Callithrix jacchus: one gene and its partners. The protein of the gene in region 3 purifies or fractionates together with the protein of the main gene of each other region. This does not show direct contact. Links are inferred from orthologs where the notes say so. Each region holds a gene or a part of one and is shown on either strand. Other genes may lie near its edges. The genes, in order: PARK7, TPI1 and ENO1.

The links.
Region 1: the proteins of ENO1 (region 3) and PARK7 fractionate together in Homo sapiens (co-fractionation; 3 studies listed by BioGRID). This does not show direct contact. The link is inferred for Callithrix jacchus from reciprocal best matches to the Homo sapiens genes ENO1 and PARK7.
Region 2: the proteins of ENO1 (region 3) and TPI1 fractionate together in Homo sapiens (co-fractionation; 4 studies listed by BioGRID, with this or other methods). This does not show direct contact. The link is inferred for Callithrix jacchus from reciprocal best matches to the Homo sapiens genes ENO1 and TPI1.

What each region holds. Positions count from the first base shown.
Region 1 is NC_133508.1:45,840,792-45,844,979, forward strand, and holds the start of PARK7 (Parkinson disease protein 7), read left to right. Parts: upstream 1-1,352; 5' UTR 1,353-1,423; exon of another isoform or gene 1,424-1,930; intron 1,931-2,405; 5' UTR 2,406-2,459; coding exon 2,460-2,549; intron 2,550-4,188. UniProt on the Homo sapiens protein: Multifunctional protein with controversial molecular function which plays an important role in cell protection against oxidative stress and cell death acting as oxidative stress sensor and redox-sensitive chaperone and protease.
Region 2 is NC_133510.1:21,142,167-21,146,176, reverse strand, and holds the start of TPI1 (triosephosphate isomerase), read right to left. Parts: upstream 2,851-4,010; 5' UTR 2,834-2,850; coding exon 2,608-2,833; intron 1,420-2,607; coding exon 1,296-1,419; intron 1,216-1,295; coding exon 1,131-1,215; intron 1,057-1,130; coding exon 924-1,056; intron 625-923; coding exon 539-624; intron 269-538; coding exon 181-268; intron 55-180; coding exon 1-54. UniProt on the Homo sapiens protein: Triosephosphate isomerase is an extremely efficient metabolic enzyme that catalyzes the interconversion between dihydroxyacetone phosphate (DHAP) and D-glyceraldehyde-3-phosphate (G3P) in glycolysis and gluconeogenesis.
Region 3 is NC_133508.1:46,727,869-46,731,413, reverse strand, and holds the end of ENO1 (alpha-enolase), read left to right. Parts: intron 1-1; coding exon 2-203; intron 204-1,274; coding exon 1,275-1,383; intron 1,384-1,669; coding exon 1,670-1,728; intron 1,729-2,581; coding exon 2,582-2,651; 3' UTR 2,652-3,018; downstream 3,019-3,545. UniProt on the Homo sapiens protein: Glycolytic enzyme the catalyzes the conversion of 2-phosphoglycerate to phosphoenolpyruvate. In addition to glycolysis, involved in various processes such as growth control, hypoxia tolerance and allergic responses.

The DNA of each region.
Region 1 (4,188 bases), about 890 kb from region 3:
TGAAAAACAGAACTACCGTATGTTCCAGCACTCCCACTACTGGGTATATATCAAAAAGAAAGGAATGGCTGGGAGCAATAGCTCATGCCTACAATCCCAGCACTTTGGGAGGCTGAGGAAGGCAGATCCCTTGAGGTGAGGAGTTCAAGGCAGGCTAACCAACATGGTAAAACCCTGTCTCTACTAAAAATACAAAAATTAGCCAGGTGTGGTGACACACGCCTGTAGTCTCAGCTACTCGGGAGGCTGAGGCACTAGAATTGTTTGAACCCACAGGCGGAGGTTGCAGTGAGCCCTGATGGTGCCACTGCACTCCAGCCTGGGTGACAGAGCAAGATGGAGAGTATTAAAAAACAAAACAAACCAAAACAGAATGGACATCAGTACATCAAAGAGATATCTGCACTCCCATGCTTATTGTAGCACTGTTCACAACAGCCAAAATATGGAATCAACAGAAGTGTTCATCAATGGATGAATGGATAAAGAAAACGTAAATATACACTATAGATTACTATTCAGCCATAAAAAATAATAAAATCCTATTTGCAACAACATTGATGGAACTGGAGGTCATTATGTTAAGTGAAACAAGCCAGGCAAAGAAAGGCAAGTATCAGCCAGGCACGGTGTCTCACGCCTGTAATCCCAGCACTTTGGGAGGCCAAGGCCGGTGGATCACCTGAGGTCATCAGGAGTTCGAGACCAGCCTGGCCAATATGACGAAACCCCATCTCTACTAAAAATACAAAAACTATCCAGGCGTATTGGCGCACGCCTATAATCCCAGGTACTCGGGAGCCTAAGGAAGAATCTCTGGAACCCGGGAGGTGGAGGTTGCAGTGGGCCAAGATCGCGCCACTGCACAAGGAAAAACGATGCTGAAAAAACAATGCTAAGGAAAAAAACACACACCCCTGAGACATCGGGTGTGAATAAATGCGCAGAGTCGCCCGAGATCCGGAGACCAGGCGTGGGGAGAGGCCCAGAGAGGCCTGGACAAGAGTCCTAACAGGCCACGGGCGAAACGGGAAGGCCCTCCAGGAAGGAGGAACAACGCAGAGGGAACAGAAGTAAACGCAGCGCGAACAAAGAAAGCCCTCTGCCGGCACATCGTGTGCCTCCGCCGCTCCAGAGACCCGCTCCTCATCCCCGGTGGCCGCGGAGACGGTTAGGCACTGCGGGCGCCCGGGCAGGCCAGACTGTGCCATTCGTAGAGGGTTCCATCCGGGTGCCAGCCGCCTCACTCAGTCCTGTTCAACTAGAAACTCCCCGGCACCACCCCCGCCTCGGTCCGAGGTAGGCTCGGCCGGACCTGACGCAGTGTGACGCCAAGGCGCGCGAGTCTGCGCAATGTGCGGCTGAGGGAGGCCGGGCGGCGCGCGTGCGTGCTGGAGCGCGTCCACCTTCGGCCTGGTATAGGGTGAGTGGTTCCCGACGGGCCGGGGTGCCGCGTCCGCAGGAAGAGGCGCGGGGTGCAGATCAGGGCCAGCGGGGGCGCGGCGCGTGTCTGGGCCGTGGCGCTTGGCGGCGTGGGGGCGCTGGACGGTGTCCCGCTGGGTCAGCCCTGGCGCGGGGCCTGGGTCTGGGCCGCCCTCGCCTCCGGCCTTCCAGTCGGGTCCTGTCGCTGGCGTTGGATTTGACTGACCGCCAGCGTGGTAGCAACGCTGAAGCGTCCAGAATCTTCTGCCTAACCTCTCGCCCAGCATGGAACTGGCTAATCCTGCTTGTTGAAACCGTTTTTATGAAACTCGTTTTGTTTTGCGTGGACGGTAAATCTCCAGATAACCTTAAATAGGCTAAAAAAAAAAAATTGAGAACCTCGTTGAGCTGCTGTCGTTTGCAGTGAGAACTTTGTGCACGGAGAGGCAGAATGAAGTTGGGTTAACATCAGTGAGGCGGATTTCCATCTTTCTCAGTCATAAAAAAAGTGTGTTCAGACATTTAACACCGTTGACCCCCCCACACACAATTTTTTAGTACGGTTATTGGAACTAAAAACAAAAATCCCCTCCAAAAAATTACAGGTTAATTGCAAAAGACCATATTTAAATTTTTGCCCATGAAATTCAGTTTAATCTTTTCTCTGAACTGATACTTCAGAGAAGACTGTCCGCCCGCATTGTGTGAAATGTGAGACCCACGTACTTGTATTTTAGAAAAGCCCATTTGCAATATATTATTAAAGTTGGATTTAAGAGAACATGGTAGAAAACTCTAAGCAACACTACACCTCGGAACGCCCTCACTGTGTTTTCTTCTCAAAACAATGAAAGCTTCTATGCAAATCAACCTTAACCTAAACTGCTGCTTTTATATTCAGTTGTCTGTCAGAACCATTTCCCTAGGAAGTACTTAATTCTGCTTGAAAACGTTCCTAAACTTTAAATGTTGTGGTATTCCAGGGTTGCCTTGAAAGTTTTTTGAAACTTTTTTTTTTAAGCCTTTAAAACATAAAAATGGCTTCCAAAAGAGCTCTGGTCATCCTGGCTAAAGGAGCGGAGGAAATGGAGACCGTCATCCCTGTAGATGTCATGAGGCGAGCTGGGGTAAGTCCCACACAGATTTCTAGCCATCCTGTTACATATTTTTGGATTTTTAAATCATTTCGAATAAAATAATATTCATAGTGCTTTGTGAAATATTACAACTATACACAAAATTTCAGAGATCTTAAGAATAAATACCTGTTGATCCACTGCCAACATTTAACACTTGTTAATGTCTTGACATATTTCCTTCAGACCCATTTCTTTTTTGTTTTGAGCTCTGTCGTCCAGGCTGGAGTGCAATGGCATGATCTTGGCTCATTTCAGCCCCTGCCTCCTCAGCTCAAACCATCTTCCCACCTCAGCCTCCCAAGTAGCTAGGACTACAGGTGCATGCTGCCACACCTGGCTAATTTTTGTATGTTTTCTAGAGACAGGGTTTCACCATGTTGCTCAGGCTGCTCTCCAACTCCTGAGCTCAAGTTATCCACCTGCCTCAGGCCTCCCAAAGTGTTAGGATTACATACGTGAGCCACCCCACTGTCCTCAGACCCGTTTCTTTCTTTCTTTCTTTTTTTTTTGAGATGGTGTCTCATTCTGTCGTCCAGGCTACAGTGCAGTGGCATGATCTCTACTCATTGCAACCTCTACTTCCCAGATTCAAGAGATTCTCCTGCCTCTGCTGCCTGAATAGCTGAGATTACAGGTGTCCACCACCATGCCCAGCTAATTTTTGTATTTTTAGTACAGATGGGGTTTCATCATGTTGGCCAGGTTGGTCTCAAACGCCAGGCCTCAAGTGACCCACCCGCCTCAGCCTTTCACAGTGCTGGGATTACAGGTGTGAGCCACCATGCCCGGCCCCTCAGCCTCATTTCTTAAAGAGCAATTGCTTCAAATAAATATATTTGAAGCCTTCTTTGTAAATTTCTCCAATCCTGTGCCCCTTCCTCCTTCCTTAAAGATAACTGCTCTCCTCGCACTATTGTGTATCCATCCATGCATGTCTTTAAGGTAGCAGTTGACTATGGTTCTCATTCTGAGTGTTTATATATTATCTCTCTATATCTAACAATAGTGAACACTGAAGTAGAACTCACTCTGTGCCAGGCATCATTCTAAGTGCTTATAAACCTTACAACATGAGTTAGGTATTGCCTGTGAGTTAGATATTGCCATCCTCATTTTATGATTGAAGAAACTGAGGCACAGAGACACTAAAATACCCACGTCACATAGTAAGTACAAAAGCGAGAACTCAGACCCAGGCAGTTTGGCCCTAGAGTCTGTTAACCCTATACTCCTCTGGTTCTCACAAATGAAGATACATGTCAATTCAGTTTATTCATTTAAAATTGCTGCTTGGTGTTGCACTCAATGCCACAATCTACCCATTCCTCTAATTACAGCATTACAGTTCTGTAATAATTGTTCTTGTGTAGGTTTTCTTGCGCAAATGTGTGGAAGTTTTTCCACGTTATATATCTAAAAGTAGAATTACTAGGTCGAAGGATGGCCCCTAGTCAGCATGATTAGGTTTTGCCAAGTTGCTCTCCAGTGTCCCAGTTTGGAGTCCCACCAGCAGTGTAGGAAAATTCCCACTTTCCCAGTGCCAGCTCATTAAAATTTTTTGAAAGATAAAGTAGTATTTCAATATTTTGACTTGCATTTCTGTCTTACAAAAATACCATGAGGTTTA
Region 2 (4,010 bases), on a different chromosome or scaffold from region 3:
CATCCACATCAGGCTGGCTGGCCAGCTCCTTGCAGGTTGCCCCGGTCACAGAGCCTGGGAAGGGAGCAGAACAAGGGCTTGGTCAAGGATGGGATGAGTAGCCCTACCCCACCTCCATGTCCCAGGGCTCAGTCTTGCCCTCAGCCCACTCCACCTCAGCCGCGAAGCAAAGCCACTCACCTCCATAAATGATACGGGTGCTCTGAGCCACTGCATCAGAGACATTGGACTTAAGCCACCCTCGGAGCTTCTCGTGTACTTCCTGGGCCTAGAACAAGAAGCTAGCCTTATCTTTTCTGCCTCTCTAAAAGGGAAAATCAGTGGCACCAGTGGACACTTAGTATGGTTTCTGAGTCTGAGTCTGAGTACCAAGGCTCAGATCCAAGCCAGGCCATGGAATGGATGCCCTTGGACAAGTCACTGTCTCTGGGCTCAAGGTTTCCCTGTCTTTAAAATAAGGGGTTGGCCTAGGTGGTCGGTCTGTCCAAACCTGTGGCAGGCTGGGATGAGAGCAGGGCTCCTGGGCTCAGTTACCTACCTGTTGGGGTGTTGCAGTCTTGCCCGTGCCAATGGCCCACACAGGCTCATAGGCCAGGACGACCTTGCTCCAGTCCTTCACATTATCTGCAGGGCAGAGATCACAGTTGGAGGGAAGGGTGGACAGGAAGGAGCTGTCCAGACAGATTCCCCAGAGTATAAAGAATGGTGGCCTACTGCCCCCTAGTGGTCATTGGGGGATTTCCAGGTGGCATCTACCTTGGGGGCTGGAGAAGTGATAGGTACCAAGCAAGGATGCTCACTCCCCCTCCCCCTTTTCCTTTTCTGGATCAGCATGGGGACCAAGACATGCTCCAGGGCCTGACCCTACCCTCTGAGTCTCTGTGGCCCTGGCTAGGTTCAAAGGTCCCTTTCTCCAGAGATACCTGCGATGACCTTTGTCTGCTCGAAAACAACCTTCTCAGTGATGCCAGCTTCCCTTTCATCTAGCTTCTCCCCAATGCAGGCGATTACTCCGAGTCCCTCTGCCAGAGCATGGGCCACTTTCTGCCCAATCAGCTGTTGAAAAACAGACTTGGTGAGACATCCTTCTTGGAAAAATACATCCCTTATCTCCTCTCTTGGCTACTAACCTCATCTGACTCCCCGAAGACATGCCTTCTCTCTGAGTGCCCCAGGACCACCCATGTGGCTCCGCAGTCTTTGATCATGCCAGGGCTAAAGAAGAGAGGAAGCCAAGGCTCAGCAGGGAGCCCACCAGTGGCTTTCCCTTCACACCCTCTCCACCTCCATCTCACCTGATCTCCCCAGTAAAGGCCCCGTTAGACACTTTGTAGCAGTTCTGCGCAGCCACAGCAATCTTGGGATCTAGCTTCTGCCGGGCGAAGTCGATATAGGCAGTGGGGGGAGCACAAACCACCTCTGAGGACAAGAGAGTCCCACAGTGGGATGAGACTAAAGAAAGCCTTCATTCGCCACAACTCCTGACCAGTGCCCTCAGCCTCTTCTTGGTTCTACTCTCCCCTGCTTTTCACCCCAGCAAGATGACCTCTGCCCACTTCCCAGTCAGGCTGGGCCTGCGCTCAACTGGCAGAGCCTTCCAAGTACCCCTGAGAGGCCACGGCCCTTACCCTGCCCTCTGCTCTTTTAACAGCTGTGGCTCCAATTTCCTCGAGCTATTCTGGGCATAGGAACCTCCCAGACTCAGCATTCTCTAGGGGCCAACCCTGCCCCCTTCTAAAATAGCCCATCCTCACCTCCCCTTTACAAGGCAAGGATTTGTAGCAAAAGGAGAAGGGGCCAACTCCTGGGGACTGTATGGGGGCCTCTGGGGCCTTTGGGGAATGAACGAGAAGGGGATGCCTCTTTGGATTAGGCCCGAGGTTCTCTGATTTCGGTTGGGGGTAAGAGGGAAGATGGAGGAGAGCATCCTTTGCCCGTGGGTGGGGCAGAGCTAACTGACTCAGAGGCCTGGAGCGTTCTCGTTTCCAGGTTGGGGAAAGCGGTAGGATGGCTCCTCACTCCCAGATCGCTCAGCCTGTTTGGCACCAGCTCGGTTCCTTCCGTGGAAGGCAGGAGTCGCTCAGGCTGCTGAATGGAAGGGGTCAGAGCTGGGGGCTCATGGGCCCCGAGCAGCTAGACACTGGGACTCCGCCGCAGGCGAGGCGGGGGAGGAGTCTGGGGCTACGTGCGGCGGCGCACGGCGCCGGAGGCCGTGGGGCAGGTAGCGGGAAGCCCACGCAGCCCAGCCTCCTCCCCGACCCCGGCGGCTGCGGTCAGCCTCTCCCGGTCGCCCGCAAAGCCTCGGGCTCCGCTCCTAATCCCGGCGCCTATCGGGCACAGCCCCAGTGCGCGCCCTGGGGCCACCTTCCTCCCAGAGACCCAAAACGCCTTTTCCTCCCCCACAGTCCAAAGGGGCATCACGTGCTCCGCCCTACCCCCTCGACGCACCGACAGGGCTGCGGCTGCGGGGCCCCTGCCGGAACCCCAGCGACCCTCGTCCCGCAGCCCTGCATCAGGTCCACGCGGACACCGGACTCAGGGTCTCGGGAGAGCGCGCTGCCACTCCAGCCCAGGCCCCGGCCCGGCCCCTCCCCAGCGGGGGCTTACCGGTGTCTCCCGGCACCTTGGCCGCGTTCAGAGTGCCGATGAGCTCCCCCAGATTCTGCTTCCTCCCGTTCATCTTCCAGTTCCCACCGACGAAGAACTTCCTGGAGGGAGCCATGGCGCTGGAACCGAGGCACTGAAGGTCAGTGTCAGCGCGCAGCCGCGGCCACTGCCCGCTTATATAGAGCGCCGCGAAGTGGAACTCCGCCTCCTCGCCGTCCTCCGCCATGGCCCGCCCGGTCCCCCGGAGCCCTGCCCCTCGCCCGCCCTCCTGCCGCCACCCGGCCGCCGCCCGGCGTGGCACTGTTCTGACGTTCCCCCTTCTTGTTGGCAACGTTCTAGGGGCGTCGGGGTCTCGGTCGCCTCTGCCACGATTGCGGGGCTTTTGGGACATGGCGACACCTGTGAGCTCTCGCTTGGCGACTTGAGTCCCCCACGGGGCCAGAAGTGGTTCGACGGAGGTAGCTCGTGGCAACCTGGCCCGTGGCCCAAATCGCTCACTGGGGCAGAGAGGGCCCCTCTCCATCAGTGGGATAGAGAACCCCCTTCCCCCGTCGGAGCAGCTGAAGCCCGACTGCTGAGTAAGCACCTTGTACCCAGGGAGTCTACCTGAGTCGATTTGCAGGGCAAATGCAGGGTTCCGAGCGGGAGGGGCAGTCCAGAGAGGTATAGGCCGCCAGGAGTATCCCAACCCTCGCCCCGGCTGGCCAAGGCCTGGCAGGAACTGCAGGGACTGAGACCCAGACTGAAGCCGGCTAGCCCCTAGGGACATTTGGGAAATACTGGGGCTCCTGTGTGACTAGAGGCAAGGGCTCTTCATCCCATCTTTCTTCAGCTTTGTGCCAGCATTTAGTCACTCGACTCCACTTCCCCACCCAACCCCGATTTCCCAAGAACTCTAGAACGACTGGAGTGGAGACCTGCCTATGGGGAAGAGGCGGCAGAGCTAGGGGGGTTTTCTGAAATGCCCCTCTGCTAACCGGCCCTCTTGCTAACCTCGAGAAGGTAAGCCTCTCCCAAGGTATCAAACAGGACACAATTTTAGCTGTTGTAGTTTTATTCACATCATGTATTTTGGCATTTTCCAGAGAAGGACAAGGAAGAAACAGGGTGGGGGAAAGACTGAGTAAGGAGGGCAAGGGGTGGGGGTCCCCATTTCCCTCATATCCCTCTTTGACCAACCACACAGGGGCAAACAGGTGGGGGAGGCACAGGTGCTCCCTCCCCTGGGAGAGGATGCACAAAGCTACACCCACGCGCACAAACGAGACCCCTCCCTCCACACCAGGGTGCTGGGCAGGGCGACACAGAGAAGCAGAGCACTGTGGATTCCAGGGGCAGGGGAAGCAACAAAGTCTCCCTACAGACAGGTGGCCAGCCCCTCCGGTCCCCTTCCTGCTCCATCC
Region 3 (3,545 bases):
GTGGTGTCTATCGAAGATCCCTTTGACCAGGATGACTGGGGAGCATGGCAGAAGTTCACAGCCAGTGCAGGAATCCAGGTGGTGGGGGATGATCTCACAGTGACCAACCCGAAAAGGATTGCCAAGGCTGCAAATGAGAAGTCCTGCAACTGCCTGCTGCTCAAAGTGAACCAGATCGGCTCCGTGACCGAGTCCCTGCAGGCGTGAGTGTCTTCCCGGCCAGCAGCTTGCCCACAGCTGTAGCTTGTGAATCAGAAAAAGGGCCCTTTTGTTGCAGTGATGGGGAATCCTGTTGGCCAATATGTAGGGCACCCCGGAATTTCAACAGGTTTCGTGTTTGAACTCAGGAGCCTTTTTAATTGAAAAGTTGGGGTGGAGGCCAAGGCAGGAGGAGCTCAGGAGTTCAAGACCAGCCTGGGCAACATAGCATGATCCCATCTCTACAAACCAATTGAAAAAAAATAAGCCACAGCCGGGCGCAGTGGCTCACACCTGTAATCCCAGCACTTTGGGAGGCCAAGACGGGTGGATTAGGAGGTCAGGAGTTCAAGACCAACCTGGCCAACATGGTGAAAGCCCCATCTCTACTAAAAATACAAATATTAGCTAGGCACAGTGGCACACACCTTTAGTCCCAGCTACTTGGGAGGCTGAGGCAGGAGAATCACTTGAACCCAGGAAACAGAGGTTACAGTGAGCTGAGATCATGCCACTGTACTCCATCCTGGGTGGCAGAGCAAGACGCTGGCTCTAAAGTAAATATGCCGGGCGCAGTGGCTCAAGCCTATAGTCCCAGCACTTTGGAAGGCTGAGGCAGGTGGATTGCTTATGCCCAGGAGTTTGACACCACACTGGGCAACATAGTGAGAGTGTCTGTTTTTTAAATTAATGAGTTAAGCAGCCTAGGGTGTTGCACTGATGGCCTATTCCTGATTCCTTGTGGCTCTTGACACATGCCTTCATTTTACATGGAGATGGTGGTTGAGCGGTTGTATCTGTGAGGGGCTCTGTCAGGGATCACTAGTCTTTCTCCCATCAAGGGAGGCTGAACCCAGTGTTTGAACTATGACAAGCAGGCTGAGAAGGTCCTGGAGGTGGAAGAGTTCAGAGGAGGGTGAGAGTTGTCCTCTGCTCTTGACAAGCCCAGGCATGGAGAGTTTTAGCCACTGTTGGCCCTGCCGCTGCTCTCCTGCTGGCACTGAGGAATAATGGCATTGGGGTTTGTGGCACCAGAAAATGCACTCATGCTATCTTGGTTGTCTCTTGGCTTCCAGGTGCAAGTTGGCCCAGGCCAATGGTTGGGGCGTCATGGTGTCTCATCGTTCTGGGGAGACTGAAGATACCTTCATCGCCGACCTGGTGGTGGGGCTGTGCACTGGGCAGGTGAGAATGAGCGTCTCCTTTCTTCTCTCCAACCTCAACTTCCTAGGAATACCCAAAACCAGTGCTGCTCCTTGTCTGTCCTGTTTTCGCTCATTTCCCCTGAGTCACTGCCCTGGTTTCGGAGCCTGAACAGAACAGGGCCATGAGCGTCCTTCCGGTGTGATATGGACCCTCTTTCCTAGGGTCAGGTTTAGAAATTATCTCTGACATTATACCCTCTCCCTGCCAGAAATGCCCGTAAAGCCTGTCTGTCCCCTATAAGCGAATGGCCTTTCTTTTCTCCTAGATCAAGACTGGTGCCCCTTGCCGATCTGAGCGCTTGGCCAAGTACAACCAGCTCCTCAGGTAAGGGGGGCTGCTGAGAACAGGGACCTGCACTCAGAGTAGGCACTGCCCTTCCCCAGGGGCTTCTGGCTCTGGGAATGTGTATGGGTGCAGACGCACAGTGCAGACAGCCAGGCCCAGATCAGGCTTAGGTTCAGGCAGAGTTAGGCATAGACCCCGCACCCACCCAGTGCCATCAGAGGCAGGAGCCTGTTCCGCACAGTGCTGCCCTCTTCTGGTGAGGGAGGATGGGACCACCTTCAACAGTTCAGCCATGACCTTACAGCTTTCAGAGTGCCTTCATATGATCTGTTTCAGCCACTTAACCCCTGTTTTGTGGATGTGGAGCCACGGCTTGGAGGGAGGAAGAAAAAGCCAAAGGACACATGGCTGGGTTCACTCATCAGCGCTGCGCGGGCAGTGCTGATCTCCCTTTCCTATCTGTGTCCTTGGAAGGCCCCTGAACACTGGGAGACTTGCCCCCTTTTTTAGTTATTATTTCCTGGACTTGTAGGGAAACGGAACACCCATTCCTGAGTACTCCCTTATTACCCCTTCATTAAAACTGAATCCTGGGAATTTTCAGACATTCACAGAAAAGCAGGTGAACAGTAGACATGGGCTTTTTTGTTGTTTTGTTTGTTTGAGACAGGGTCTAACATCAAGATTCAAGCAGCACACACATTTTCTCTACTTCTGGAGTCTCAGAGCAGCACAGTGTAGAGGGTTTAAGAAGGTGGACAAACTGGAGAGTTCCAGGTTCTCAACTTCCCAGGAACTCCAGGAGGAGTGGGGCTGTGTCTTTGACATCTGGGGTGGGAAAACTTACAACTTGAAGACTAACTTTTCTTTTATCCTCCCCATCTCTTCCAAGAATTGAAGAGGAGCTGGGCAGCAAGGCCAAGTTTGCTGGCAGGAACTTCAGAAACCCCCTGGCCAAGTAAGCAGTGGGCAGGCCAGCCCTTCAGTCGCCTGTTGGCTAATTAGACTCCTCCCCTCTTGTCAGCTCGGGCAGCTCCAGGCCCCCCGACCAACACTTGCAGGGGTCCCTGCTAGTTAGCTCCCCTCGCCCACCACCATGGAGTTCGCACTGCTTGCTTAGAACTTCTACAGAAGCCAAGCTCCCTGGAGCCCACTTGGCAGCCCTAGCTTTGCAGTCATGTAATTGGCCCAAATCGTTGTTTTTCTCGCCTCACTTTCCACCAAGTGTCTGGAGCAATATGAACCTCCAGGGTCATATCCGGGGTGGCCACAGGCAAGATCACCAGTGGTTTTGTGCTCAAAATAAAAGGCATCAGTGAACCATGAGAATACCCTTTTTTGTGTGGCATGTGTATTTGGGACAGTCTGGGTCTTGTCCTTAGTGTTCAGGGGGCCTGCCAATAGGGAGTCAGCCTTTGAAAACTCTGTGCAGAGAACATTTTCCTGTGTCCTTGGGAAGAGAACTTCAGGCAAATGCAAGAGAGGAGACATGCGCTGTCCCCCTCCAAGGTAGTGGGGTCACAACAGGGAGTCTAAGCTCGGAGGCAGAGCGAGACTGTTCAGACAACTCATTTGGAAGAAAATTCAAATGCAGGCCTATGTGTTGATCATCTTAAAGATGGTAGCTACTGGGTTACATAACCATACTGTTCAGGCCAGAAGGACTCCATGGTAAATGTGACCATCTTGGGAAGCGCTAGGATGTGGGTCTCTTCCTGGGGAAAGCAAGTAAAGAAGGATTAAAAGGGAACTCTGGGCAGGAAGGTAGAAGGGCATCCAGAAGACCTCGGGACCCCATTTAAATTAATGAATTGCATTCCTTGGTTTCTCAAGCGTCAGGTTTCATGTACTCGGTA